Linked DNA regions of Rhinolophus ferrumequinum. The protein of the gene in region 3 purifies or fractionates together with the protein of the main gene of each other region. This does not show direct contact. Links are inferred from orthologs where the notes say so. Each region holds a gene or a part of one and is shown on either strand. Other genes may lie near its edges. The genes, in order: IFT46, IFT57, CLUAP1 and IFT27.

Evidence for each region.
Region 1: the proteins of CLUAP1 (region 3) and IFT46 purify together in Homo sapiens (affinity purification with mass spectrometry; 3 studies listed by BioGRID and IntAct, with this or other methods). This does not show direct contact. The link is inferred for Rhinolophus ferrumequinum from reciprocal best matches to the Homo sapiens genes CLUAP1 and IFT46.
Region 2: the proteins of CLUAP1 (region 3) and IFT57 purify together in Homo sapiens (affinity purification with mass spectrometry; 4 studies listed by BioGRID and IntAct, counting the BioPlex papers as one, with this or other methods). This does not show direct contact. The link is inferred for Rhinolophus ferrumequinum from reciprocal best matches to the Homo sapiens genes CLUAP1 and IFT57.
Region 4: the proteins of CLUAP1 (region 3) and IFT27 purify together in Homo sapiens (affinity purification with mass spectrometry; 3 studies listed by BioGRID and IntAct, with this or other methods). This does not show direct contact. The link is inferred for Rhinolophus ferrumequinum from reciprocal best matches to the Homo sapiens genes CLUAP1 and IFT27.

The regions. Positions count from the first base shown.
Region 1 is NC_046294.1:87,904,177-87,911,403, forward strand, and holds the start of IFT46 (intraflagellar transport protein 46 homolog), read right to left. Parts: upstream 3,015-7,227; 5' UTR 2,766-3,014; intron 2,043-2,765; 5' UTR 1,946-2,042; intron 1-1,945. Other genes in the region: ARCN1 (coatomer subunit delta), read left to right, coding at 6,860-6,862. UniProt on the Homo sapiens protein: Forms part of a complex involved in intraflagellar transport (IFT), the bi-directional movement of particles required for the assembly, maintenance and functioning of primary cilia. May play a role in chondrocyte maturation and skeletogenesis.
Region 2 is NC_046285.1:35,882,791-35,890,314, forward strand, and holds the start of IFT57 (intraflagellar transport protein 57 homolog), read right to left. Parts: upstream 3,009-7,524; 5' UTR 2,891-3,008; coding exon 2,679-2,890; intron 285-2,678; coding exon 122-284; intron 1-121. UniProt on the Homo sapiens protein: Required for the formation of cilia. Plays an indirect role in sonic hedgehog signaling, cilia being required for all activity of the hedgehog pathway.
Region 3 is NW_022680357.1:4,893,718-4,901,705, forward strand, and holds the start of CLUAP1 (clusterin-associated protein 1), read left to right. Parts: upstream 1-4,968; 5' UTR 4,969-5,138; coding exon 5,139-5,160; intron 5,161-7,988. Other genes in the region: C15H16orf90 (uncharacterized protein C16orf90 homolog), read right to left, coding at 1-261, 724-769. UniProt on the Homo sapiens protein: Required for cilia biogenesis. Appears to function within the multiple intraflagellar transport complex B (IFT-B). Key regulator of hedgehog signaling.
Region 4 is NC_046293.1:9,967,489-9,974,705, reverse strand, and holds the start of IFT27 (intraflagellar transport protein 27 homolog), read right to left. Parts: upstream 3,003-7,217; 5' UTR 2,594-3,002; coding exon 2,560-2,593; intron 1-2,559. UniProt on the Homo sapiens protein: Small GTPase-like component of the intraflagellar transport (IFT) complex B that promotes the exit of the BBSome complex from cilia via its interaction with ARL6. Not involved in entry of the BBSome complex into cilium. Prevents aggregation of GTP-free ARL6.

The DNA.
Region 1 (7,227 bases), on a different chromosome or scaffold from region 3:
ATACATATATACACATATATGTATATACATATGTGTATGTGTGTGTGTGTGTATATATATACACACATACATATATATCCTGACAGTTGCGCTGTTGTGGCTGCCTTGATGTCCTGAATCGATTCAAAACATTTACCTTTCATGGTCATTTTGACTTTGGGGAAGAGCCAGAAGTCGCACGGTGCCAGATCCAGTGGATAAGGACACACCATAATGTTTTTATTTGACAGAAATTGCCATACCAGAAGCTATGTGTGACATGGAGCCCTTCTGTTGTGATAAAAAAATACGGTGAATGCTGCTGCCGAGTGCCATCCAACAGAAAGCCAGGGATCTTCAATACAGGAAGTGGTGTGTGACTTACTAACAGTGTGTGACAAGTTTCAACTTGTTCGGTGCACTCAGTAGGGTGTGAGCTATAGGTGAGAGGTTTTTTTGTGGGGGTTTTTTTAATTGGGGAAGGGGAACAGTACTTTATTGGGGAACAGTGTGTATTTCCAGGACTTTTTATTGGGGAACAGTAGTGTGTTTTTCCCAGGACTCATCAGCTCCATCCAAGTCAAGTTGTTGTCCTTTCAATCTTAGTTGTGGAGAGCACAGCTCAGCTCCAGGTCCAGTCGCCGTTGTTAGTTGCAGGGGGCACAGCCCACCATCCCTAGTGGGAGTTGAACCGTCAACCTTGTGGTTGAGAGGACGTACTCCACCCAACTGAGCCATCTGGGAACTCAGCTCAAGGTGCTGTGATCAATCTTAGTTACAGGGGGTGCAGCCCACCATCCCTTGCAGCAGTCGAACCAGCAACCTTGTGGTTGACAGCCTGTGCTCCAACCACCTGAACCATCGGGCCACCTGGGAGCTCAGCGGGAGCTCAGCGGCATCCCGTTGACTTCATTCTAGTTGCGGAGGGCGCAGCTCGCTGGCCCATGTGGGAATCGAACTGGGAGCCCTGTTGCCCAGAGGCTCGCGCTCTAACCAACTGAGCCACCCGTCCGCCCTGAGAAGGTGTGTTTTAAAGTGTGCCATAAATCATCCTCCATCATGATAATGCGCTGTGTCACACATCGCTTCTGGTACATGGCAATTTCTGTCAAATAAAAACATTACGGTGTGTCCTCATCCACCTTATTCACTGGATCTGGCACGGTGCAACTTCTGATTCTTCCCCACAGTCAAAATGATTCAGGACATAGAGGCAGCCACGATGACAGTACAACTAAAGACACTCACGAAAGAGGACTTCCAGAACTGCTTCAGAAAGTGGCAAGAATGATGGGATAAGTGTGTTCAAAGCAAGGGGGAGTATTTTAAGGGGGATTAATGATAATGTGTCTTTTACTGTAATACAATTTTTTAAATTTAAACATTCACCATATTGTTTGATCACATCTCGTAATTTTATCTATTCATTTGTCACCTGTCTCCAATGATTACAAGCATCAGATGGCAGAATCAACATCTCTTTTAATACTGTACACCTAGTGACAAGCATAAGGCTGACACACAATATACATTAAGAAAAATGTTTGTTAAATAAATGATGGTGTCAAATCCTCTTCAATTATTCCACTGAGATTTTTATTGGGATTGCAGATTAAAGAAAGGTTACTGAAGCATTTTCAAAGTGGAGCAAAACAGTTTTGATAAGTTAAAAACAAAACAAAACAAAACATGAACCCCTGTCAGATTGTGAGCAGAACAGTATCATAAAGTAAATGGTATTAGGAAACACTGATCAGGTTGGAAGAATATCCCAGAATCTGGGAGGCTGTGTTTTCATCCCCCTTAACTAGTTAGGAAACAGAAACAATAGCAAGTGAAGTAACTTCACTCTGAAAGCCAACATTTGCTATGACAAAATAGAAACTTCTTGGAGACAATCATGAATCCATCCTGCCCTTTGTTCTGAGAACCATTTTTTCTGCTTTCCTCTTCATTCCTCTCTTACCTCTGTGTCTTGGGGTTGGAGTATAAACACTTGCAACCTCTTCAGAGTCGTTAATCTCTAGACGCTCATCATATGTCTGGTTTTCAACAATCTTGGTCTAAGCAAAAGGAGACACGATTACATAGGCTCATATCACCAGACATTAAACACTATGCGGAGAGGTGCGATTCCAAACCAGCATTCATCCTGTTCCTCACCCAAGACATTAGTTTCACATGAAAACTTCACCCCCATTCAAACTTTCCTTAAGGCTTCTTGGCCCAAGATCAAGCAGTGAGATCATCCTGCTGCAATCCATATTTAGGAACTGCTGACAAGCTAGCTGAGGAACCAGAGAATCATGGAGGGAAACAACAGCCAACTTCTACACCAGCTCCCCAAAGCTGTTAGGCACACACAGGCACACGGGCTAAACAGTATTCGTTTATAGATAGCGACTTAGGTTCCTTCGGTTTTCCCAAGGCTGTCGCTGTTTCTCAGGGGAGGCTGTAGAGGCTCTAGAATGAGTTCTGTCTCTGGGGTTACCTCGTTTACCGGAACAGAGGGTCAACTCCAGCCTCTCAGTCCCATCCAATAATCCCGAAAACATCACCCCCATCTCCACCCCCCACCCAACTTGCAGGTCGGGTCCCCCTTAAGTTCTTGGGGAGTAAGAGAAAAGCAGGGTGGTTGGTGGAGACGTGAACGAAGGGGAGAAGGAACAGTTGTCATGGAGATGAGAAGAGATTGGGGGATTGGAAGGAGAGAATGGGAGTCCGCTTAAATTCCTCTTGGGAGGGAGAAAAGGAGTTCTCTTCCGGAGAGGGTGAGTACCAATTACCTGTAGCCCATCTGAATCCGTCTCCTCTAAATTGAAAGAACCCCAGCCTGGGGCTGAGGTCTCACTCCAATGTCAGGCCAAGCCACTCTAGGGATTCTACCTGGAGCAACCGTCCAGTTGTCAGGCGCTAGGTAAAAATAAATAAACAAACAAATTTTAAAAATCGCGAGACTTGCTTTCACTCTCGTGAGACTTTCTCCACTCGCGCCTTCAGTCCCTGTGAGGGAAGGCTCCAAGGAGGATCAAGAGCGTCTCCGGGGTGGGGGTTGGAGGAGCCTCTCTGGGCGATCAGGTCGCCTGTTTGTCTATGGTTTCAGTAAAGGCGTCTGTGGCGGCATCCAGCGGCCACGGGTGGCAAAGCTGGCTGATGAATTTGGGTTTATAAAGTTAACCCTTCAATCTGGAAATAATCATGTGCATTTTACCCCGTAAGACAATTACCATTGGTCATGCAATTCCTCCTCTATCAGTCTAATCAGAATTTAGACAAAATCTCTAAGGAATAGTCCAACAACACTTTGTACGTCCTTTTTAGCATTTGTATTACATTATAGTCCTTCCTCTTTACGGTGTCCCATTGCATAGGACATTTCTTATACTAACAAATTATTCGTTATTTATCTGAGATTACAATTTATCCTGGTGTCTGTATTTTTATTTGCTAAAGAAGACTGAGCTTCTTTAGGGCAGCGTCTGTGTCTAACTAATTTTTAAGATCTTCATAGTGTCAGTGCATTGCATAAATTAGGTGTTTTTAAAATGCTCATTGGGTGGATGAATGAGTGAACAAAGATGTAAGGAACAAATATTTCAAACTACAGACATAGTTAATTTGGGGAGTAACAAAGAGAGAAACAAAGAGAATAATATTGGAAATTTGACCCTGAAAACCAGCCAGAGGAAAGCAGTAAAGTGGCTTTTAAAAAGAAAATGAGAAACACCTCTTCTGAGACTCTTCTGGTTAAAAATGCAACTGCAGGGTGGCCGCATGGCTCAGTTGGTTAGAGTACAAGCTTTGAACCACACGGTTGCCAGTTCAATTCCCACATGGGCCAGTGAGCTGCGCCCTCCTCAACTAGATTGAAGGACAACGACTTGGAGCTGATGGGCCCTGGAGAAACACACTGTTCCCCAATAAAAATTTATCTAAAAAGAATGGAACTGCAAAACATTTTTTAAAATTTTTTGTCATCTGTTATTGCTAATAATAATGGATATGTATTGTTGAGCATTTACTATGTAGGACCACTTAGATTATATAATCTTACTTATTAATATATTACCTAACTTCACAACCTTATGAGATAGATGTTACTGTCAATTTACAGATTAGGTAATTGAGGTTTTGGAGAATTAAAGCAACTTGCCTAGAGTCACTCAGCTACGGTAGTAAGTGCCGACAATGGGAGTCAAACACAGGTCAGTCTAATTCCCAAGGCTCTGCTTTTAACCATTATGACTTTCTGCCTTTAAGGCACTCCTCACAAAGCATGCTTGCTGGGGTACTCTTCTTATGCAGTTTAATTCAACTGTCGTATTTCTAAAGAATCAGCATCAGTTGGTCTTTGTGAGCTTTGGTTGTTCCACACTGAATGCCCCTGGAAGCTGCCACAATAAAGCAATAATTCCAGACATGATTTTTACTTTTTTTAAATTAAGAATTTGTTCATCTTTTTAAAACTGCATGTCCTTTTTATAATAAAAATAAACAGTACAGTTTGACATAGATCCTCCCAGACATGCAAGTTCTAAAATATGGGGGGTTTGTAATGATTCTACTAGAAAGCCACTGGAGATAGAATTGAAATGAGTGGGAATTCTATAGTGCAGTGCTTAAGAGTATAGATTCTAAAGTTGAGCAGCTTTTGTTCCAATCCTAGAGTTACTACTTTCTAGCCGTGAGAGGTGTGGTAGAATAGTTTTCCTCTTTGTACTTTGGTTTCCCTGTAAAATAAAGATATTAATGGTTCCTATGTCAGAGAATTTTTGTGAGGATTAAATCAGATAATCTGTGTGAAGAGTTTAGGAATACACAGTATTCCTAAATACACTGTACATTGTAAGTGCTCAATAAACATTAAGGAACATACCGAAGATGTACCATGTTTTCTGAAAAATAAGACCTATTCCGAAAATAAGCCCCAGTTAAGATCGTCAGCCAGATGGACGCATTTAGTACATTTTGACGATGTTCCAAAAGATGACATGACTGTATTTGAATAAATGTAGATTGTTGTACATGAAAAAAATAAGACATCTCCTGAAAATATGCCCTAATGCATCTTTTGGAGCAAAAGTTAATGTAAGTCCGGTCTTATTTTTGGGGAAATACGGTATAAGACCTGGTCTTATACCGGAACATGGCATATATAGAGAGAGGCAGGTGTGTCATAATGAGAAAAAAATGGGTTTGAATCCTGGCTCTATCCCTTACAGACTGTGAGTCTGGGCAAGTGCTTGACTTCTTTGGTCCTCAGTGTCCTTATCTGGATTGTTGTAAAGGATTACAGCTAACATGTGTAAAGTACTTGACACAAAATAAGCACTCAATAAAAATTTGCTGTTTATCCATTATTGCAGCAGTGTTTGAGTGTTGTAGAGTTGAGCCAGTGATACAGGACGAAATGATATAGGGGAGAACTGCTGAATCACATATGCCCTAAGTCCGACACTTGACATGGGAGAACTATCAACAGAATCAGAAGGCTAGATTTGACTCTTGCTTCCATTATATACTGGCCTAGAACTCTGGGTAAATTTCTTAAACTTGACATCAATTTTCTTCACCTACAAAATGAACATGAACGCAGTAACTGCCCTGATTCCCACACACTTTTTAAAAAAAGGTATAATTTACAAGTCATATAAATTAACCCTTTTAAAGTGTACAATTCAGTGGTTTTTAGTATATTCACAAAGTTGTGTGACCACCACCTCTGTATAATCCCAGAATATTTTCATCACTCCAAAAGTCTCACTCCCCATTCTTCCCCTCTCCCACCTCCTTATAGCCCTACATTCTATCTCTATGGATTTGCCTATTCTGGACATTTCATATAACTTGAATCATATAAGATATGATCTTTTGTGACTGGCTTCTGTCACTTAACATATTTCCAAGGTTCATACTTGTTGTATAATGTATCAGTACTTTATTCCTTTTTTCAACTGAGTAATATTCCGTTGTGTAGATACACCACATTCTGTTATCCATTCATTTATTATGGACATTTCAGTTGTTTCTGCTTATTGGCTCTTATGAATAATGCATCTATGAATATTAGTGTACACTTTTTTGTGGGGACATGCTTTCGATTTTCTTGGGTATATACCAAGGAGTGGAATTGCATCATATGGTAACTAGGTTTAAATTTTTGAGGAACTACCAAACTATTTCCCAAGTAGCTGCACTATTTTACATTCCCACTAGCAGTGTATGAGGGTTCTAATTTCTCCACATTCTTATTATACCAACATTATTATTACAGGCATCCTAGTGCAGGTGAAGTGGTATCTCATTGTGGTTTTGATTTGCATTTCCCTAAGGACTAAGGATGTTTGAACATCTTTTATGTGCTTATTGGCCATTTGTATATCCTCTGGAGAAATGTCTGTTTCACCCATTTTAAAATTGGATTATTTGTCTTTATTATTAAGTTGTAAGAGTTCTTTATTCTGGATATTAGGTCCTTATGCACACCCGGTTATTTCGTATGTTAAGTGATGTAGTGGCTGTGAGAGTTTTATAAACTACGAGAGGTGTCAAAAATTAAACAAGGGCGCTGACAATAAGTGAAGGGACAAAAATACGAGGTTCTATCGCTTGGGTGAGCCCGATCCCTTCTTGGCCAAGTCGCGTTCTAGCTTTGCACGCACAATTTCCCCACCCCATGGCGCCCCGCCCTCCGCCCTTTGACCTGCGCAGTTTCCGGTTGAGACGTGGCTCAGGGCCGCCATCTTGGCGAGAGGCAAAGCGGCTGCGGCTCCTGTCAGGGGGGCAGCAGGTCCAGAGCCGCCGGTGCTTTCCTTTCCCTGACCTCAGCCCTAGCCCCAGTGGAGCCAGAGCGCGGGTGCGCCCCACCACCGCCCTCACCATGGTAAGATCCGAGCCGGGCCGCATTCCCGGATCTGGCCTCGCGTGTCCGCGCTCTCTGCGGGTCGTCTTGGTGTTATGGCCAGAGGAGTCCCTGCTTGAGGGCCTGGAGCACCTGGAGCACGGCGCTTCCGCCCGGCGCTACCCTCGGGGCTCGGGGAGCTGTCTTGTGCCCGACCTCTCGGGAGATCGGGGGACCTGACTCCTGTATCCTCTGTCGTAGCGCCCACACCCTTTCCTTCCCCACCCCCAACTGGGCACCTTCTGTGCTGAGATCCGGGCCCTGGAATGGGCTGGGGTTTTTGCTCTACTAGAAGCTCGTAGTGATAGCGCTTGGACCCCACTCTGCGATCCTCCGCGCAAAAGTCC
Region 2 (7,524 bases), on a different chromosome or scaffold from region 3:
AGATAGATATAGTTATTCACAGAGAATTTATCTAAAAGGCTAGCATTCATGTTGTCGAATTAACAATATTAAAATTCATAACTTGAGAATATGCAGAAAGTAGAGAGTTGTTTACACTTACAAATGATCGAAGCTCAGATAATATATTAGATATTGTTGCATTAGGGTCATCATATTCCTGAGGCTGCTCAAAGGGGCGTCCTGCTTTGCTAATCAACCAAGCAGCAAGAGTGCAAAACATGTAGAACTGTTCACCAGGGTTGGTAGGCAGTGCAAAATAGTGTCTGTTTCAAAACAAGAGGGGAGGGTGGAAATATTGAGAAGTCTATAGTAATTAAAGGAGCTAAGTCCAAAATTGCCCCAATTTTTTTTTCAAATGGCTTTAAAATCAAAAGACATTGATAACTCATTCTTTGAAATTTCTAATAATCCACAGCACTCCCACTAACGTTTTTAATCAACAGGACTAGGACAATAACTACTGCATAAAAAATATTAGATCAAAGACCTTACACCCCAAAAATGCAGGGCATGTTAAAAAACTGAGCACATAGAACTTTTGCCAAAATAATTTGTGTATCAGGAATAATATGAGAGTACTTCCTGAAAATGTAATTTGGAATCAAGAAAATCTTAGAGTTTAAAAAAAAGACCTTAATGATTATTCATTATGCATTTCTACATTTTTTACATCACTGGTATCTTTACTTACTGTTGTATCAGTTAACAGTTGTTCTCATCTTGGCTGCATATTTGAATCAACTGAGGAGCTCGTCAAACCACTGCAACTGGACCGAACAGTTCTTCCCTCATGAATTAAATCAGAACTTCTGAGAGTGAAGTCCCAGTACAGGTATGTTTTAAAAGCTTCCTAGATGGTTCTAAGGTGTAGCCAGGATTAAGAACCACTGAGTATCACATCCCCAGTCTAACAAACATTTGTTGACTGTTGTAAAATCCCTAGCCTACTACAAATAGTCCTATGAGGATCAATATGATATATACTTAAATATGTTAGGAATAAAATTTGCTAGCCACAGCATTCAAGTCAGTTTGACTAAAGATCTTAGTTTGCTTTTTACATGTAGCTATTATGTTCATAATTGTATTTATAGCTATTATAGGTATTTTCCATAAGAATCAGCAGTGAACTCATGTTTCCCAATTTCTTTCCTGCAGGATCAATGTAAGTGTCCTAGAACATAACAGAAAGCTGGAAAGAAAACAAGGCCATGAAGTCCTTACAGGTAGGTTTACAACCCTTTCGAAGCACCTGCTGGTAACAACTCATTTTTTTCTTGTTGGCTGATAAATCCAAGATAGAGGAATGGATACTGACACATTCTGTAGACTTAGGAAAATGACTCTCAAACTTGAGCATGCATCAGAATCACCTGGAAGACTTGTTAAAACAGATTTCTAAGCCCCACCGCTAGAATTCCCGACACAGTAGACCTGGGACAGGGCCTGTGAGCATTTCAAATAAGTTCCGAGGTGATGCTCGTGCTGCGGGCCTGATGACCACACTTTATGAACCATTAAATTAAGATACCTCCACACAAATTCATTATTCAAAGTATCCTGCTGAACTCCGGAGGAAATAGTACAGAGGTTATATCAATAGAAACTTAGGGCCATTTTCTTTTAGTTTGAAAAATATATTTGGGAAAAATTCACTTTTATTAACAGAAAATACTGCTTGTTTATATTATTCTGATCAGTTAATTTAAGTAATAACTCCCAAGCCTACAATTTCCATCTTGGATTAAGCTTACATATCTTATAACTCAAGTAACTGGAAGAGAGCAGGGAATGAGATCAAAACTGTCAAGAGAAATTATTTGAGCCTAGCTATTATTTGAGCCATTCAGAGAAAGAAATAAAGATTCATAATCTAAAGTAATAAACAAATCTAAGTATGTATTAATGTAAAGGAAAAACTATAAAACTTATTTACCTCTCCGTGCTAAGCTACATTGATTGGAAGAGAAAGTGCTAGCTGTCCATTATCCTCAGCAACTAATGACCTGGGCTTCCGGATATGATGAACTTTTCCCCAACAGAGGGGCAGAACTTTAGGCTCGATGAGAAAGAGACGGCTCCTACAGTTGTCATTTCATTTGTCTTTTCCACTTTTCCACTTCTTTAAACCATAGCAATTAGTCAACAAGTTTGCCAACTGCATAAAAAGTGCTAAGCAAGGTCCTAGGTATCCATGGTTACCACCTGTAGGGACAGGTTCTTGCAAAGGAAAACAAAAACTAGAGAGATCTAAAATGATCATGGCATTTGTCTTTGGAGATGAGATTATGGGTGATTTTAGTATTTTTCTACACATTTTCTTGTGTTTTTCTGAGTTCCCTGCAAGAGGAACTTTTATTACTTTTATACTCAGAAAAAACAGTTTGTGATTTGTGGAGGTGTGTGCTTTAAAGACTAGGCAAGCTGTCTTCCAGTCCTTTCTGTCGTTCCAAAACTTTCCTCTTTACTAAAATACCAAATATAAACTCCGTGAGCTCCACGGCCCTCCGTTGCCAAGTTTGGATGAAGTACCCTTTCCAGACAAGGCGGTGAAGACAAGTGCTGGCTAACCCGCGCTGGGCGTTCCCCAGAAGGCCGGAGGAAGGCCTCTTCCCAGGGCCCAGCAGGCACCCATGCGCGGGGACCACGGCACCCACCTGGACGGGGGCTTCAGGTTGTTCTTCCGGAGGAGGTCCTCCTCATAGCGGAGTAGCTTCAGCTTCTCCACCAGGTCCTCCATCACCACGAACATGTGGTAGGCCGCGCCGGGCCCCCGCTCCACGACCACCTCCCCCGCCCCTTCGCCGCGGGACCGGGACGCCCCATCCTCCAAACCCGACGGCGTGACCACTGCCGCAGCGGCCGCCATCGCAAAACAAACAGAAAGAGCCCAGCGTGGGCTCCGGCCCACGGATCTCAGCGGCCTGCGCAGTTGCAGCCAGGACCGCCGCGACCCGTTACCAGGCGACCGACAGGCAGACCGTCACCAGGGAAACTAGACTCCTCCTCCTTCCCTGAGCTCTTCTAAATTCCCTCCAACCAAAGCAAGCTTTCTGGGCTACGTCATGTAGGGTCTGCCCCTTCCCCTGCCTCTTGGAAGACAGTGGCGGGGAGGTAGCCACGCCCTCGTGGGGGGGCGTGGCTCCCAGGGCCCCACGTCCGGCCACGCCTCCTACCGCTGCAGTTTAAAGGCGGAGGCAGGGCCGTGGGTGTTTTTGCTGCGCTTTCCAGCTGGCCCTTGGCTTGCTAGAGGTGCGTTGGACCTGGTGGTTACCAAGGGCAGCTGAGCGGGCATCCGAATGAGCTGCTAGCAGTTTAAAAGATTAAAGAAAAAGGAAGACGAGCAGTATTGAAGGCTATACTAGCCCCCTGATTTTTTTCTTCTTCTCACAATTGAAAGTTTTCACAGTTGTAAAGGTAGTCGATATTCTGAGGTTTCCTTTTACCTCAGCAACCTCCCAAAGGGAAGTTTCTTTCCTTCCCCCCCCCCCTTAAAGTTAGTCTTTCTCTCATTAGTGAATGCTGTGTGTGATCTAACACTATGTTATAAGACTGTCAGTATCATTCCCTGCTATCAGCGCTAGGAAAGGGGTTGTTGCTTGGGAGGGAGTGGGGAAAAAGAATGGCAGAGGATGAGCAAAAAGGAGGCAGTGGGAAGGATTTGTTTTACCTCGGAAACAAGCATTCTAAACTCACATCCTTCTCCTAATCTGTTTCAAGCCCATTACATGCAGTATACAGTGTTGGGGTTCCTTGTTAAAATCAATAAAATAAAGGAAATAATCTTGAAAGGAATTTATTTTCCTGTGCTATAGCTCTAAGTGTGGTTAAAGACAGTATTACTACTGCATTGTACTCTGCAGCTATTAAAGGAAAAGCAAGAAAAGGGGGCATAACTGACCAAAGCCTTACCGTTCTCAAAGAAGTCTTGTGTGTCAAGAAGCTTTCCTAACAGCTATTTAAAAAATGAGGTAAGTGGTAGGTGCGTGGAGGTTTCCTGGGAGAAGAAAACTTGTGGCAAGAGGTTGAACATGTATTTGTGTTTATACTGTGTTTTTTGAGGGATCTCTGATCTCTTATATCTGCTACTAGAGAATAGAGAAGTCACATTTTTTGACATAACCAAAGTGTGAAGTTTATCTGTAATAACTTTTTGTTTTTGTTAGAAAAATGGGCAGAAGAGCAGTTTTCATTTTAATATCAGTCTAAACTTTCTGATACTCAGAAAGGTATCAAAGTGAAAAATCAGGCAAATACCTTTGTGTTTACCAAAAAAGTAAATACATCAAATAACTGATTTACGGTATGTAGAAAACAATCCAAAGGGGAAGGCCACTGAGAATTGCTTTTTAAGTAAATAACATTGTCTGCCTACTATAGTCATTTAACCAGCTGCTTTTAATAAAGGTGAGTGGGAAAATCAGGTATGGCTCTACCCCACAGCCAAATGAGTCTTTTTCTTTGCCTCCTTGGAACAGTGTTTCTTCCCCATACATCCCCACCCTAACCACCACATGTATGGATGAGGGATATTGTGGTATGCTTGTATAACTTGCAGAGTACAAGATAAATGAGTAGCTTTTTAGGATTGAAAAATATTAAAGCTCAGATACATGCTTTGGGGTGCTTAAACAACAAGCAACCTGTGGCTTTTTACACGGTTTTCAAAAAGGTTTCAGACTTTCAGGTAAATTGATCACACCCAAGGAGATAGACATTCACTAGAGGCGTGCTGCTGACATAAGACGTTCTGACATTTTCAGAAAGTATATATAGCACTCAGGATGAAATAGTCAAACATTGTTTTTTGGCTGATGAGAAATCCTCCAACAACACATGCACTTTGTGGGGAGAAAAACTCTTCTCCCAGAACCTAGCCATTTTCTTCCCAGGCGCAATAGTGGTGCAGTCTGTCTTGAGGCAGTATGAAGAATTATCTTCTCTCTTAAGTGTTGTGAGAAAGAAAAAACACTAAAATATAAAGTATCCCCCTGTAACTATGGCACAGAAAGAATGAAAGAAACAAAGGAAAAGCCAACTATTCAACATTGTTTCCCCCACAGAAAAAAGATGGTAAATAACACTGAAATGTCATTTCATTGTTATAAGACCCCAGGGATTATTTTTGCTGAACCTTTGTTTACCCACAATAGTTGACAACGCTTCAAGGGGTCTTTTCCTTAATGGAAGTAGTTTCTTCACGTGTGAGAATGCACACTCAAATCCTCTTTGAGCTGTCTCAGCCACTTGGAAGCTTTGGAGTACATTGTGTTAGTATTTTTGCAGGACTAGCTCATTCATTGACTAAAGAGTTAGACGAGAGCTTGAAGAGAATGGGATGTTGAGGCTTGTTCATACTTCCTTTCAAGAATCTTAAGAGAGATTTATCCCTGGCTTTATGTGTTGACCACAATTATAGTTGGGCTTCTGACTTTGACTTTTATCTCTCTCAAACTATCTGTGAAATAATTGGAAGTGCTTTTTAAGGCCCTTAAGATCTTTCTGTGACTGGGCTAATCTCTGAAAACTGAACGGCATACCAATCAAAGGTGATTTAAACTAAATGGATTTCGTTGAAAGATGTTGAGCAAGGCTGGGGGTGAAAAGAAGACAGGTTCAAAGATGGAGGCTGTCTTTCCAGCTGCATCTCCAAATAAAAAAGTCCTCCAAGAAGACTGGACAGGCTTAAAAAACAAAACTGCTTTTTGTTATAAATGGCTTGGTATCACCCATGAGATATGTTAAAAACTTAGAAAACCATTAATTGAATAGAACTTCCTTAACCTAATAGAAAGTATCTGCCCAAAATCTTGAAAGAAAAAAAAATCATATTTAAATGTGAAGCATTAGAAGCAATGCCTTTTAAAGCCATGAGCAAGGTGAAGACATCCAATCTGCAAAACTATACTAGAGATCAGAGCCAGTATACTGAGACAAAAAAATTAGGAGTAAGTTTTGCAGAAGAAAAAAACTGTTGCAGGTGATAAGATTAAGTAAAAAAATTCAAGAGAATCTATAGACAAGCTCTTAAGGCAGCTCAGTAATTGTCATATAAGAGATCCAAACTAAAGAAAAGTTACTTACTGGTTGGAAGAATAGTTAAAATGGCCATATCACCCAAAGCAATACACAGATTTAATGCAATCCCCTTCTAAATCCCAATGGCATTTTTTTTCAAGAAATAGAACAAAAATCATCAGATTTGTATGGAATCACAAAAAGACTCCCAATAGCCGAAGCAATCCTAAAGAAAAAAAAAGTGATAGATATTAGGAAAGAGACTCAACAGAACTTAGTAATGGGCACCATGAAATGTTCTCTGGGGCACTGATGGCACCACAAAGATGTTCCACGTTGGGGTGAGAAAGCTGGCCTTTATCCCCTGTCTCACTGGGTCACTGGCTGGTGATTAGCTCAGGCATCTCTGAGTGAGGTGGCTTCTGTTAGCCAAGGGTAGTTTTCTGGAGATGAATGCAGCTGTGAACACTGAGCGGCCAGTACTCCTACTGTTTACCCGAAAATAAGACCTAGATGGACAATCAGCTCTAATGCGTCTTTTGGAGCAAAAATTAATATAAGACCCCAGTCTATATTAATAAAAGACCCAGTTATTTTAATATAAGACTGGGTCTATATAATAATTATATAATATAATATAATACCAGGTCTTATATTAATTTTTGCTCCAAAAGATGCATTAGAGTTGATTGTCTGGCTAAGTCTTATTTTCGGGGAAACACGGGTAGCAACTTGGGAATGGGTGCATCAACCTGGGTAGGCACTGGCAGCTTTTGCTGCAATATTTAACATTAAAGTGCAACACTTTGAGTTTCTTTATGTGAGATATGTTCTGAAGTAATGCAGATGGTCCAGTTGGCAATGTCTGGAGAACTTTTTGTTTGTTACAACTATGAATGGGTGCTACTGGTGTCTAGTGGGTAGAGGCCAGGGATGCTGTTAAACATCCTATAATACACAGAACAGCCCCTAACAACAAAAAATTATCCCACCAAAAATGTCAATAGTACTAAAGCCAAGAAACTTTCACCTACAAGAACACATCTAAAACTCTCCACCATGGCACAGAGGTCTTGCAATGACCTATTACCTTTATGTATCCTGGAGACTAATCCATTGACATTATATGGGTCACAAATATCTTTCTTCATTGTTTCTAGAATCCTCTTTTGTATCTAAATTCTTAATTTTGATGAGTTTCTCTTTTCTTTAAAGTTTGTTCTGTATTTCCTTCAAGAAACCCTTCTCTACATTGAGGTTCAAGATACTCTATTTGTTTCCTTCCAAGTATTTCACATTTCTGTCAATACATCTGAAATTTATCTACTGAAATTCAGAGATGTGATTTGGTTTTCATGTGGATAACCCATAGCTTAAACAGCATTTATTGAATAGTTCTTTATATATTTTGGATATCAGCCCTTAATTAGAGGTATTGTTTGCAAATGTCTTCTCCCATTCAGTTGGTTGCCTCTTTGTCCTGCT
Region 3 (7,988 bases):
GATCCAGGGGCCAGCCTGTGGGTTGTGGGAGGCAGCCCCCAGCCATAAGCCGGCCCAACCAGTGGCTCTCGCACTGGCCAGCGGGCTGAATGTGGCCCGGCAGGTAGAGCGCCAGGCCCCGGAGGTGCCGTAGCCTGAAGTTCTTGGGCTTGCTTTCCTGGGCACTGGGGCACTGCAGCTGCTGGGACCCCAGCCCTCCCTCGTAGATGTTGGGTGGCGTACGGGGGTTACTGGGGGGTCCTCGGGCCCAGCTCACTGCATCTGTGGAGGGCAAAGCAAGACGGTGGTGGCCGATGGGCCACAGCAGCCACGAAGGGAGAATGCAGTCACATGCTCATGTGTTGGGCTCCACTCCTGGCCTGCCAAGCCTCAGCTTACCTGTCTGTCAAATGGGCTAACTCCCCTGCCTCCTGCCTCCCCTTACCTAACATATTACTCCTTCCTCTCCCAGCCAACAGGGAGATCTGAGAAACCCAAGCCTTTCTTTCAGGACTTCAGGCCCTTTCTGCCACCCCTTTTTGCCCCCTACCCTGGAAAACGCATTCTGGTGCTAGTATAGAAATTGAACAGTGTGTCTAGAATCACACAGCCCAAGTCATATGTCCTAGACCAGTGCTGGTCCTCGCTCCCAAGCTTGCATGTCTCTGAGGCCACCCTGGTGGCTTTGGGCCCAGGTGAGGACAGAGGACATTTCTCCTGCTACACTGCCCCACAGCCTAGCACCTTCTCTTATGCGCAGCTCAGAGAACGCACAGACCAAGGCTTCCATGGAGGGCCAGAGTGGTGAGGGAGGAGTGGCCCAGCCTCCTGTGCAGCAGAGCTCTGCTCTCCCCTGCCTACGGGGTGGGTCTGCAGGTCTCCCTTGGCAACAGGCAATGTGATGTCACAGGGAAGACTTCCAGTCTTCCTGGACCCCATGAGTTTGGGGGAGGATGATGCCCCAGGGCAGGGGCAGGGTGGGAGGAGGGCGAGGGAAGGGGGCAGAACTCTAGGGGAGGTGCCTGGTCATTCTGGCTTTGGGACAGGCCACACAAAACAGACTCAGCTCTTGCAGACTGGAGAGTCGCTTCCAGGGATGACCTCTTGGTATCTCAGTTTTCTCATCTGTGGGTGGGAAATGAGGGTTTAGGGGTACAGACTTGGTGAAACCTGGGCCAGTGCTTTGAGCATGCTTATAAGGTGGTTCTGGGTGACTGGGGAAGTCACTTAACTTTTCTGTCCATTTTTCCATAAGTAAATGACAGGGTATTGTGTGACTTGTACCAAGTGTGAGGAAGGATGTGGAGGAACTGGAGCGCTCATGTACTGCTGGTGGGAACGTGAAATGTAAAACGGCGCCACCACTTTGGGAAACAATTTCTTGAAAAGTTAAGCTTCCAATTCTCTATTCACAGATAACATCTTATATAGAGAAAAAATTAATTCACACTCAAAACTGTTTGAGCTAATAAAACAGCTAATAAAGTTCAGCAAAATTGCAGGATATAAGATCAACACAAAAATTAGTTGTATTTTGGCCACTTGGCAGGGGCCACTGAGCACATTGGACTCCAACTGTTTGCGTGCCTCGCTCTGCTTCCTCTGAAACCATGTCTGACAAACTCGATGTGGCTGAGATTGAGAAATTCAACAGTCAAAACTGAAGAAGACGGAAACACAAAAGAAAAACCCACTGCCTTCGAAAGGAAAGGCTGAACAGGAGACACGAGCAGGCGAATGGTAACGGCACGCACCGCCAGTACGCACTGCACATTCCACAAGCATTGCCTTCTGATTTCCCCGCTTTTAGCTGCTTAACTTGTAGGATACAAAGAGGTTAGATCCAGTTTAAATGACTGTGCTGCCCCTTCTCACGTCAGAACTACTGACAATGCAGGCCACACCTGCCCCTCCCATCTGCCTGGCTGGCTGGCAGGGAAGGAAAAGAACCTGCATGTTGGTGAAGGCAGAAGCTGGATGGGCAACAGCGAAATCGAGAGGAAAAACCAAGCTAGTCCAAGGTGTCCTGCAGGCTGTAAAACGCAGTTTCATCAGAGTGTCAATTTTTTATGTTCAAATGATTTTAATTATTGGAATGCACAAATTTTAATATGTGAATAAAACATTTAAAAAAACCCAAAATTGATTGTATTTATATATACTGGCAAAGAACACAAAGAATAATATAGGAATAAATTTTACTAAGGAGGTGCAAAACTACACTGAAAACTGCAAAACATTGCCTAAATAAATAAAGACGTAACTAAATGGAAAAATATTCCTATTTATGGGTTCAAGACTTAATATTGTTAAGGCAACGGTACTCCCTAAAGTGAGCTACAGATACTTTCAAAATCCCAATGGCCTTTTATGCAGAAACGGGAAAGCTGATCATAAAATTCATGTGGATTTACAAAGGGAACCAAAATAACAAAAAACAATCTTAAAGAAAAAAGTTTGAAGATTCACATTTCCTGATTTCCAAACTTTCTACAATGCTACAGTAACCAAAACAGTGTGGGACAGACATAAGGACAGACATCTAAACCAATGGAATAGGAGAGATCAGAAAGAAACCCATATATATCTATGGTCAATTGCTTTTCAATGAGAATGCCAAGATTATTCAATGGGGGAAAGAATTTCTTTAACAAATGGTGCTGGGGCAACTGGAGAGCCACATGAAAAAGAATGAAGTTGGACCTCTACCTCACACACCATATATAAATATGAACTCAAAATGCATCGGAGACCTAAATGTTAGAGCTAAAGCTATAAAACTCTTATGAGAAAACATAGGGGTAAATCTTTGTGACCTTGGATTTGACAATTAGATATGACAACAAAACCACAAGCAACAAAAAAGTAAATTGGACTTCATAAAAATTTCAAACTTTTGTGCCACAAAAGGCACTATCAAGAAGTAAAAGAGCCTACAGAATGGGAGAAAAAATTTGCAAATCATGTATCTGACAAGTGTCATACACAGAATATATAAAGACTTCTTACAACTCAACAACAAAAAGACAACCCAAGTTATAAATGGGCAAAGAAAGCGCAGCCGGATGGCTCAGTTGGTTAGAGTGCAAGCTCTGAACAACAGGGTTGCCGGTTCGATTCCCAAATGGGCCAGTGAGCTGCGCCCTCCACAGCTAGATTGAAGACAACAAGCTGCCACTGAGCTGCCGAAGGGGCGGCCAGATGGGTCAGTTGGTTAGAGCGCGAGCTCTGAACAAGGCTGCCGGTTCAATTCCTGCATGGGATGGTGGGCTGCGCCCCCTGCAACTAAAGATTGAAAACGGCAACTGGACTTGGAGCTGAGCTGCGCCCTCCACAACTAGATTGAAGGGCAATGACTTGGGGCTGACGGGCCCTGGAGAAATACACTGTTCCCCAATATTCCCCAATAAAACAAAACAAAACAAAAAAAAATTGGGCAAAGAACTTGAATAGACATTTCTCCAGAGAAGATACGCAAACTGTCAGCAAGCACAGGAAAAGATGCGCCACATCATCAGTCATTAGGGAAATGCAAATGTAAACCACAGTGTGATACTACTTCACACCCATGAGGATGGAGAATATATAAATGAGAATGTAGAGAAACTAGAACCCTCCTTCACTACTGGGGGAATGTAAAATGGTGCAGCCAGTAATGTATGAAAGTTCAAGTTGGTACACATTCTTTCAGGCTCTTGGCATTGTGAGGGTTTTTGTTTTGTTGTTTTAGCCATTCTAATAACTGCCTAGTGATAGGTAATTGTGACTTAATATCCATTTCCCTAATGACTAATAATTTTGGTCTTTTCCTTTGCTTATTATTGGCCATGTATCGTCTTTTGTAAAGTATTAGTTTAAATTTTTTGTCTTTCCATCAATTGGATTGTTTTATTGAATTTTGAGAGTTCTTATGTATTCTGGATACCTTTTTATCAGCTGTGTTTTGTGACTATTCTAGATTGGATTATCTTTAAACGTTCTTAAAAATATCTTGATTAGCAGTTTTAAATTTTGATGAAGTCCTATTTGCCCAAAAAAAATCTTTTGATGTATCTAAGAGATCTTGCTTAACTCAATCACAAAACTTTCCTCTAAGTTTTCTGCTAGAAAAGTTAGTTTCAGGTTTTATATTTAGGTAAGGGTGGAGATTCATTTACTTGAATAAGGATTTCCAATTTTTTCAAACCATTTATTGAAAGACTGTTCTTTCTCCACTGAAGTGCTCTGTCACGTTTGTCGTACTATGTGGATCTATTTGGGGACTGCCTTTAAGGTCCGTGCATTTACGAGTATGTTTGTTAACTTCGCCAACACCAATACAGGAGTAGAGTACAGCTCTCCGCTTCGTCCATCTTTCCGAGCTCAAATCACTTCACCTTTCCAGACCTTCTGCGTCGCCTGTTCTCCACCGTGGCAACCCCACGGAGGGCTCCCAGGTGAGCCCCTAGCTGACCGGGCAACATATTGGGCACCTTCTTCACTCCGGAGCCTTGTTTCCTCAATTACGTAGACAGTCCAACGCGCGCCCGCCGGAAGAGACCACGGTTGCCAGGACAACCGCCGGCGCGCAAGGATCCGGGCTGACTTCCGGCTCGTCGTGAAGCTTGAGCCGCAGGCGCGTACGCAGGTCCGAACCAGTCAGCTTCACTGCCCCGGGGACAGGCGGGTGTCCTGCTGTTTTACCCCGCGGTCGCTTCTCAGGGGCTGCGGACGCGGTCAGCCAGTTTGCAAAGAGAAGCGTGCTGGGCACAGGACCCTGGTGGGCGATCCGACTTCGTGACGTCGTACATTCTTTCTAGAAGAGTTGAGGAAATGGGAAGTATTATGTAGAGCACATAGTAGGTGCTCAGAACGTGTCAGCCAGTAGTCTGTCTGCAACGTGTGTGGAGGGGACCGGGACGCCCCTCGGTCGGAAGCCCCCCCCAGGGGCATAATCCCACACCCGCCTCCCCCCGAGCCCGGGACTTCCCCTGCTGCCCGCCCCTTCTCCTGCGCGTGCGCGCGCTGCGCAGCCCATTTACCTCGCGCCTTGTTTGGCCTCTGCTGCGCGCTGTCGATGGCGCAGTGCGTTGCCATAGAGACCCGTGAGCACCGAGGGCCGAGCGGCGGAGGTTCCGGGCGAGCGGCGGGGATTCCGTGCTGGTGGGGACCAGAGCGTCATGTCTTTCCGTGACCTCCGCAGTAAGGCAGCCCTGCCCCCTATGACCTGCGGCCCTCCCGAGACTCGGGGCTTCGGCCTGCGGGTCGCGTCTGAGCCCCGTCGAGGCTTGCGCCGCCCGAGCACCTTCCCGGGCCTCTGTGCCTAGGGCGTCCCTGGCCCTCTGCCGCCCCCCAGGCGGAGCGCCTCGGCCCTAACTTACCGCACTTTCCTGCGATGATGGGAAGTTCTCTGTCTGCCATTCGCTGTGGCCAGTGCGGCTGAGGACCCGAAGTTTTAATTTGATCTAATTTTAATTGATTTGTATAGTCACACAGGCTCTTCACTATAATATTTGAAAACGCAGAGACCGTTTTGAATTGGGTTCACTTGGAGCTCAGAGAAACGAACAACAAAAGGGAGGGGGCTAGTGAATAACAATTGCGGATAACATTTTATGAGTGTTTACGGATCTGCCAGGTGGTAACTGTTCTGTGTATGCGCATCATTTTATTTACTTCTCTGAACAACTACGGTTCTGTGTTTAGAGATGAGGAAACGGGCACAGAGAGGTCAGGTAATTCAGTCAAGGGTCACAAGTGGTTAGAACTGGCGCAGGAGTTTTAGATTTCAGGTTGTCTAACCTTCAAAGCCTCTGACCTTTCTAAAGGAGCTAACGAGGAGAAGGGAACCCTTTGCTAGAAGGTTGGAAAACGGGGAGAATGTGGATAAGAGAATTGGTTGCTACTACTTGGGGGGACGCCTGTTACACACCAGGCATTTTACATTCACTGTTTTTTTAGTCCTCCCTTTAACGCTGAGGTAGGTGACTCCTCGATGAAATACTTTGAGGCACAGAGAGGTCAAGTAGACTTTAGGTCACACAACCAGAATTGGGTGGAACCAACGATCGAGACATAATACTGTGTGAATCAAAATCTCTTGCCTTTTGTACGCTATCATTTTCTGATTCAGAAGCAGGTCAGCAAAGTGGCTCCACGGGCATAGATGTAGCAGGTGATTGCCAGTTTGCTGTGATCTGAGGGGCCTCCTTAAGACCAATTTTCTAATTGAATTGCTGGTGCCTGAAATTTCACCATTAAAAATTATGTTTTCAGTTATGAATTGCTCTTTATCTACAATGTAAGTATACAGAATTAGGCAGGCATCACCTTATTAATGCATCTACTAGCACCGTAGCTATGAATTATGCCTGTTGGGATTTGAAGGTTCTTGGTGATTATCTTGTAGAGACAAGTTTCTCCTCCCTTGTTTAGAGAGAGCCCTCTGCTAAGGAACGTTGAATGGAGTTGTATTGGGAAAAGTGTACAAGAAGCGGATTTATGAACATTTTTACCTTAAATGAATGCTGTACAGTTGTGCAATTTATGTTAAGAACCTTGCTTAAAATGTCTCCATTTTGACAATAATACTGCAGAACTAACAGAACTTGACTACTACTGTTTGGTGGGAAGTATCTCGGCAGTGCCTGACGGTGGTGGGAAGGCTACTGCTTTATTTTCCATCACTCTATTCAAATTTCCCCAAAAGTAATTACACGTCCTCTGTGTAGTTGCTCTTTTTTCTGCTCATACCTTCTTTTCTATTGTCTGGTGAAATCCAACCTAACCTTATTTGTGAATGTCCTTGGGACATTTTGAACGTCCACCTTCAAGAAGAGTGAGGACAGGTATTACATAGCTGGAAGCACACTGAATATAGATCTCGGCCCATTGTGGTAATTCAAAAAGTGTTTGTTGTATTCATTTCCAAGTCCTGCTTAAAGCTTTGTGACTGCAACCTCTGGCACCTACAAGTGTTAGTATTACTGTTTCTTAATCTGTTTTACAATAAATATAAATAGTGCTCTAGTGTTAACCATTCTCTTTAACATTTCTCTAAATACAATGCAACTAATCTGTAAAATTTGTGTTATTGAGGTCCTACGAGCTCACGAAAAATAAAATGCAAATAATTCAAAAATAACTCAGGAACATGGACTTCACTCTACCACCATCACCCCAAAAATAAACACTGTTAACATTTAAAAGTATTTTTTTCTTTATGATGTTTCATAAAGCCAGGTATTTCTCATTTTGAGTGGTAAAAAGATATCCAAGAGAGAAATGAGATATCAAATAGAAGTTAAATTAATAGCCAATAGAATCTAAAAAAAAAAAACACAAAACAACAGAAACAAACTCATACAGAGAACATTTTTTTTAATTAATTAATTTTTTTAATTGGGGGAGGGCTTTATTGAGGAACAGTGTGTACTTCCAGGACTTTTTTTTTTCTTCCCCATGTCAACTTGTTGTCCTTTCAGTCTTAGTTGTGGAGGGTGTTATTCAGCTTCAAGTTGTTGTCCTTTCAGTCTTAGTTGTGGGGGGTGTTATTCAGCTTCAAGTTGTTGTCCTTTCAGTCTTAGTTGTGGAGGGCGCAGCTAAGCTCCAGGTCCAGTTGCCGTTGCTAGTTGCAGGGGGCGCAGCCCACCATCCCTTGCGGGAGTTGAACCGGCAACCTTGTGATTGAGAGGATGGGCTCCAACTAACTGAACTGTCCAGGAGCTCAGTGGCAGCTCAGCTCAAGGTGCCGTGTTCAATCTTAGTTGCAGGGGGCGCTCCCCACCATCCCTTGCGGGAGTGGAGGAATTGAACTGGCAACCTTGTGGTTGAGAGCCCACTTACTGGCCCATGTGGGAACCGAACCGGCAGCCTTCGGAGTTAGGAGCATGGAGCTCTAACCAACCGCCTGAGCCACCGGGCCAGCCCCCAGAGAACATTTTGATGGTTGCCAGATGGGAGCGGGTTTGGGGGGATGGGTGAAAAGGAGGAAGGGATTAAGATGTACAAATTGCCAATTATAAAAACAG
Region 4 (7,217 bases), on a different chromosome or scaffold from region 3:
TCAAATAGCGTCCTTCCTGCACAGCCTCCGAAGGTCATCTCTCCCTCCTTTGTTTTTACTTGTGTGGTCATGTGGGTCAGTGCCATTTCATTGAGACCTGATGTCAGAGCAACCTTCTGGTGAGGCTCTATCATCCCCACTGACATCGAGAGGCAGTAAATCATAGGACGTAGGGCATAGATTCCAGCTCCATCACTTATGCGCTGTGTAACCTTGGGTCAGTAATCTCTCTGGGCCTCAGTTGTCCCATCTGCAAAATGGGGATAACAGCACCTATCTCATAGAATTGTTATGAGGATTTAAAGAGTTAATATGTACAGTGTCTCATGTATATTAAGTAATAGTTAAGTGATTTTTTAAGTAAATAAAATATAGATAAACGTCAAGTGTTGTTTTCTTTCCTGATCTGAGCCAAAACAATCAGCAGGTATTTCTCTGGTATCTGGCACACAAAGGGCATTCGATTCATGTTTGCTGCATTGTAAGTTACTATGCACATCTCAGCGCTTCCTTGAGTCCAGGTGCTGGCCTGATTCATGCTTGCATTCGCACCGCACCATGCATGGTGACTCGCACATAGTAGGTGCTCCATAAATATCTGTCGAATGAATAAGCACTTGAATTGAATATTGGGTCCTTCAATGACTAGGTACGTGAGAGAAAAAGGGCAGATTAACTCAATTTAAACAGCAGACCTGTGAGGGGAAAGGACAAATAAAACCAGAGCAGGTGTGTGAAGTTGGGTGGTGTGGAGAACAAGAATTGGGTGCGTGGTGCTGGTGGGGCTGATTCACTGTCTTCTAGTCCCTGGAAACTTCCAAGAGGAAATAGTCTTGAGGCTGCAGATGGAGAGCTAGGTTGGAGTTCAGGAATCACTAACTCAGGCAGTGGCTGAAATCAGGTGAAACAGTACCTGAGGGAATGGGTGTAAAGAAGGGCAAAGAGTCTAGAATCGAGGCTCGAGGACAGTTTAGTTTGGGGCTAAGAACAAAGCACTGGAAATCAGATCACCTGGGTCTAGATCCCAGCTCGGCCACATCCAGCTGTGTGACCCAAGGCAAGTGTCTTAACCTCTCTGGGCTCAGTTGCTCCAGCTGTGAATGATGATGACAATAATACTGACCCCACAGAGTTATTGTGTGGATTCAGTGCGATGACCTGTGGTGAGGGTCTGCCACAGTGCCAGTACATGGAGGGTACTCAGCACACTTAGCTCCATGATAGAAGCTGAATTACAAAAGAAATAAGAGAAAGTAGAGTTGGAGGGAGAAACGCATTAAAAAATGTATCTAACTTCAGAAAACAAAAACAATCCCAACTTATGTATGAAGAAATTGAGGCTCAGAGATGTGCTTTGTCCAAGATGACACAGCCAATGAGAGGAACAGCCAGAATTCTTTTTGTTACACAATACGGCCTCCTCCGGCGTTCTGGGAACTAGAGACCCCTTAACTTCTTTTGCTCCAGTCTGATTTGAGTTACTGTTGTCAGTCATCTTTCTGTGTGACCCTTTTATTTCCAAATTAGAAAAGTCATTAAAAGTATCATCTCTTTCAGTCAGAATCTCTTTACCCTCTTAATAATTTCTCACTGCTTCTTTCCTGAGCTGGTCAAGGAACCCCGGAAAGGTCACAGGTTCCAAGAGTAACACAGGTTAAGAGTTTTGGAATTGGGCAGATCCAGGGGTTGAAATCCTGCCTATGACCTTCCTTCACTAGGGCGTGACCTTGGGCGAGACTTCACTTCTCAGTGCCCCAGCTGAAACGGGAACAATACAGCACCTACCGGTGTGCTCACCTACCACCGGGAGAGGATGAAATGAAATACATGTGCCTGGCATGCAGGAAGGACTCAGTACACATGTGTTCTGTGGTTCCAGGTCTACAATCCAGGCAAATGTTTTTCTAAATGTGCAGACTGATACAAAGAGCACCACACATGTGAATGCCACATATTCATTCACTCTACAAATATTTATTGAGGACTTAGTAGGTTCCAGATATTGTTCCGGGTGCTTGGGATCCATCAGTCAACAAAACAAAGATTCCTGCCTTTGGGGGATTCGATATTTCTGTCCTCCTGAGCGTAGGGAAGCGCAGTAACTTTGGGTTTTAAAGGCAATACACTTGCACCTTTTTTGCAAACTCTGGTCAATTTTACATTATTGTCTGTCCCTGTCATCAGAGGGGCAGGGTCAGGGAAAAAATCCCATAAGACTAGCAAAGCCACGGGTGCCTAATTTTGGGGTACAGCACATGGTTTGGTTGAAGCACTCAGGGTGTGGTTAGCCTGGTTTTTAAAGAGTCTGTACCTCCTGAGTACAGCTCAGAAAGGTGAAGATGGTCTTACAGTCTGACAGGGGGCGGGAGAAATCAGCTGGAGCTACCAGTGTAGCCTGGAAGATACTTCTTCCACAACTAATGGAATTTACTGTTAGTAATTGCATTAACTCGCCTTTGGAAGAGAGAAAGGGAAAGAGGGTAGACAATTTACGTGAACAAAAGCTCTTGGTAACTTATGAGGTCTCTGGACTCTGGAGACTGTAAATTTCACACTCACCTGCCAGGATGCATTTGGCTGCCAGCTTCACCATAGTAACCAGCCACTTCCACGGACCAGACGGGAAGAGCGGCGGCTAGAGGCGTTGGTGGGGCTGCTTGGGAAGGGAAGTGGGGAGGATGACGCTCAAGGTGCCCGTGGCCGCGGTGGGAGCAGGGACAGATGGGGCCTGGACCCTCTGGGCTAGACAGGGGGCGGCTATCCGGCGCGAGGGATGCGGCGGAGGCGCAGGGGAGCGCCAGATGGGGTCTGGCTCAAGGCCTCAGAAGGCAGCCTGGAAAGGGCCAGCGAGGCGACGCAGCACCCGTTCGCGGCCCACTCCCTCGGCCCAGCCCCTGCCTGTGGGGATCCGGAAGAGTGACCCTACAACCCCGGGGCCCCTAGCACCGCGTCTGACCCTCTGGCCAAACAACCGCCTGCCCCGCCTCCTCCGTCCTCGCTGACCTTCGATTGGCTGCCACCAAAAGTTCCCACCCTGAAGGCTCTCCGAGACCAGTGGGAGGAGGGGGCGGAGCTCACAGGCTTTCCTTGCAAGACAATTCGTAGTGTTATTTGCTTTTCAAACTCATCCCCCTTGGCTAATGGTTGTAGGAGACATCAATCATTTCCACTCCTCCCCCCCTCCCCACACCCCTCTACCCCGCACTGCCGGAAAGTTCTAGGAAAAGAAGCTCCAACATCTTTTAGCCAGAAGCGGTGCTAAAAGAAGCTTTCTGATTGGCCAGAAGCTGGCTTGGACCATCTGTGGGAGGAATGCGTGTCCCCTGCCCTCCTGGAGGTGAGTTCGTCCGCGAGGGGGCGGGTCGGGAGCGCGGGAGACTGGAGTGGCGCCTGCGCAGTAGATGAGGCCGCAGTGGACGAAGCGGAGTTTAGGACGGGTTTGAGGTGGTGGAGGTTCTTGATGCTTCCCCAATTCCCAGGTTCCGGGGAGTGCGGCCGTGAGGTGCATCAAAAAATTCAGCCGTTGCCCCGCATTCCGCAGGCAAATCTCATTTTAAAAGACCGAAGATATTACGCGCTTTAAAATCTAAAATTTTAAAGCGTTTAAAGGGATGTCTGTCAACAAAGGGAGAACAAGTGAACTTGGAGGCGAGTGAGCCGATTGGACCCAGGCAGTTGAAGTCATCCTTTCCTCTGAGCCCATTTCCTCTCCTGTAAAATGGAGAGCGTATGTATATCACATATTGAATGAAAGCGAGAATCCAGAATGTTGAGGCCACACAAAGAGGGCCCCCTCTTGCTCTGCGGTCAGCAAACCAGACAAATCCCTGCCATCTTCCTGACCCGGGCAAGACATCTCACCCCTGCGCCTCTTGACTCAGCTTTAAAGATGGGCCAGTGGAACCCCCTTCATGGGGTTGTCCTGAGGTTTAAATGAGAAAGTATGTAAGCGCCTGGGACGTAGTAGGTACTCAACACTCAACAGCTGCATGGATGAAGGAGAAGAAATTCATCAGGACAGATTTGGTCTATCATCACCGTCATAGGTTGGTCAGATGCACCCCTGTTCTCACCCCTGCCTCACCCCCATCCCTCCACCTCCCACCCCTCACTCCCCCAACCCCGCCAACCCTTGGCTGATGCTGAAAGGGACGAGAAGCCCCTCAGCAAAGATACTGCATTCAGGATTTACCATCACGTGCCTTTCGGTTACCTGGAACGTTCTGCTGTCTCAGCTGCTCTCTGTCTCAGTGTAGCTACTAGCCTTGTGCAGGGGAACGAACACACACACCCTTGACAAATGACTGTGAAAGTTTCAGTTCTGAATCCAGAGTAAAACAATCCAAGTTGCCTGGAATTTTGTCTTCTTGAGAATCATTCCTGGTATTCTGGTTACGACCTGTCTCTCCTTCATCCCCCTTCCCTACTTTGCTTCTTTGGAGACCTCATGCGTGTCTGTCTCAGAGACCCCAGGCCTGGGTGAGTCAGAACGCCGCTGCCTGGTCTTTCTGCCTCCCCCTCCAGGCTGTCCTGTTCACTGTGACGCCCGTCATCCCCTAAAGGACCCCTCGAGTGAGTCAACCTTTCGAGGCAGCTCCATGGGGCTGAGGCACTGATATAGATCTGGGGGCAGCCTCTGAAGCCTCATTTCCTCCTGCGAGGGCGTAATGGCACCTCCCACACGGGGCTGCACTCCTCTGCACCACATCCACTCTCCCTATTGTTGCTGCTACTCAGTGTGCCTGTGGTCAGCATTCTGGATCTTTCTAGAGAGGTGGTAATCCCTTTATACTGAATTCTGCTCCCCTCATCCCAAGGGCCTTCTGTACGTTCTTGGTGACTAAAGGACAGCCGCATGACACAGTCACAGGTTTAAGGTGGTCCGAGAGTTTTAGAGCCAGGAGGGGCCTTGAAAGATTCTAATCTAACCCCTCTCTGAGAGTTGGCGTGTGTTGAACGTATGTGGAATGCTGGCCTCGTTCTAAGTGCTTTCAAGGATTAATTAATACTCATATTTGATATTCACAATAGCCCCACATGAGGCTTGTATTATTCCCATTTGATAGATAGGGATACCAAGGCCCAAAGGAGGTTAAGTCAAATGCCCAAGGTCACATAGCTAGTGAATGGCAGAACTGAGGATTGAACACAAATAGTCTATCACCCCGCTGGCCCCGAAAGGGACCTCTGCTGCCTCTAACTCCTCACTTCCTCCCCTCCTCGAGAGTAAATATTGATTGAGTTCCTTGCAGTAATATCGCATGCTGATTGAACATTATATGCCAGGCACGTGCTAAGCACTTCACATCCTCTCTGTTGTTGGATGCAGTGACCCTGGGAAGTGCAAACTCTCATTATCTCAATGTAACAGGCGAGGAAACTGAGGTCCAGAGAGAGCCCAAGGTCAGGCAACAAGTCAGCTAGAACCAAAACCAGCCTCAGGTCACCTGTTCTTGGGACCGGTGTTTTTTTCCATTACCTGAAGTCACCTTTCTGGTTTCATTAATAAGCTTTCTTGAGTGCCTGCCTTGGACGAGGCACTGTGCTGGGGCCACCAGAGCGAAGGTGACAAGTCCCAAGCAACTCTAGCAGATCCTGGCCATGTAAGAATGCCAGCCCTGACTTTTCTAGAAGAGCCCAAAATCTAGACTTTTGTGTGAAATCCCTTGACTCAAATTTTGGCAATGAACTTAAATTGAAAACACTGTAGCCACAGTAGAACATCTCTGTGGACTGGTTCACCCCGAGGGCTGCCTATCTGTGACCTCAATTCAAGAAGGGAAGACAAACATATGAACGAATCCTTGCGGCATGAGTGGATACAGGACTCCAAGGAGCCCTTCTAGCCCTGGATAGGTGGAGGGGCATTGGGAAGGCTCTTCTGGAAGGAGAGCCCTGAAGAATGGGTAGGAATTTACGAGATGGACACAGAGGAAAGGACCTCCTGAGTAGATGGAATCGCACGTGTAGAGGTGTTCCACCAGTGGTGGCCGTGCATCAAGCATTTGGAGACAGCAGGTGACACTCTTTGCTCAGGTGTTCAGTGGGAGATTGGTAAGAGGTAGGTCTGACCCACGCGCCTGCTTAGAGCCACGTAGACAGCAAAACGACAAAAGAGTGAAGCAAGGCCTGGCGGGGAAACTTCTTTGAGGAATTCATTCAACAACTGTTTTGTTGAGCACCATGGGCAGAGCCATCATAGGCGCTGGTTTCCAGTGGGGAGACAGTCAGCAGTGGCGACCTATGACTGGTGAACATTGAGCAGGACCTTTCCTTGTTGTATGAAGACTAAATACCCTAGCAGTGGTCCCTGGACCAATGGCATCAGTGACTTGTTAGAAATACACGTCCCTAGGCCCTTCCCCACCAAACAACTGAACATTGGGGGGAGGGCCCACTCTCTGTGTTTTCATAAACCTTTCTAGCAATTCTGATGCAGGCTCATGTTTGAGAACTACTGCCCTTAGGTCATGCTAGGTCCCACCTTTATCCCTGTTCTCTGGCCGTTTTAGTGTTTCTCAATCTCCTCAAGATCCTTTCTACCTCAGGGCCTTTGCACTTACTGTTCTTAACATGGCTGCATGATACTTGCCCTCATGACCTTCTGATTTTTGTTCAAATTTAAAGAATCACCCCCAATCTGTCAGTCTCAATCTCCTTGTCTTACTTTTCTTTCTTCATAGCACTCACTACTATGTGATATACAGATATCATATTCTGTATTTATTTGTATAGTATTCTGTCTTCCTCCCTTAGAAGGTGAGTGTCATGAGATTTGGTCTCTTTTGTCCTCCCAGCATCTAAGACAATGCCCAGCATGGCAAGACACTCAGTAAATATTTTTGAATGAATGAATGAATCTTGTAGAATTTTCCCTTCTGTCCATTCATTCGTTCAGCAAGCACGGATTCTTGTGTAGGTAACGGGCTTATTGCTGGAAGGGGTGCCATGGCTAATCAGATCGCGGCAACCTGATGTCTGGGGTCTCCACCTGGCCTCCCCCCCGCCCCCCCCGTTGCACAGCCAGCTCTAGACCCATACAACCTCCAGACCTGCAGGCTCCATGGAGGAGGAGGAGTTAACAGCTGCTCCCCAAAGCCGGGGACTGGGCTGTTTGGGCTAATTACGAAGTGAGGGCTTTCAGTGGGAAGAAAGCAGAGCGGCAGCTGCTGCTAAGTTGTTCTCAGGGACTGTTCCGTCATCCTGGGGTCGAATGC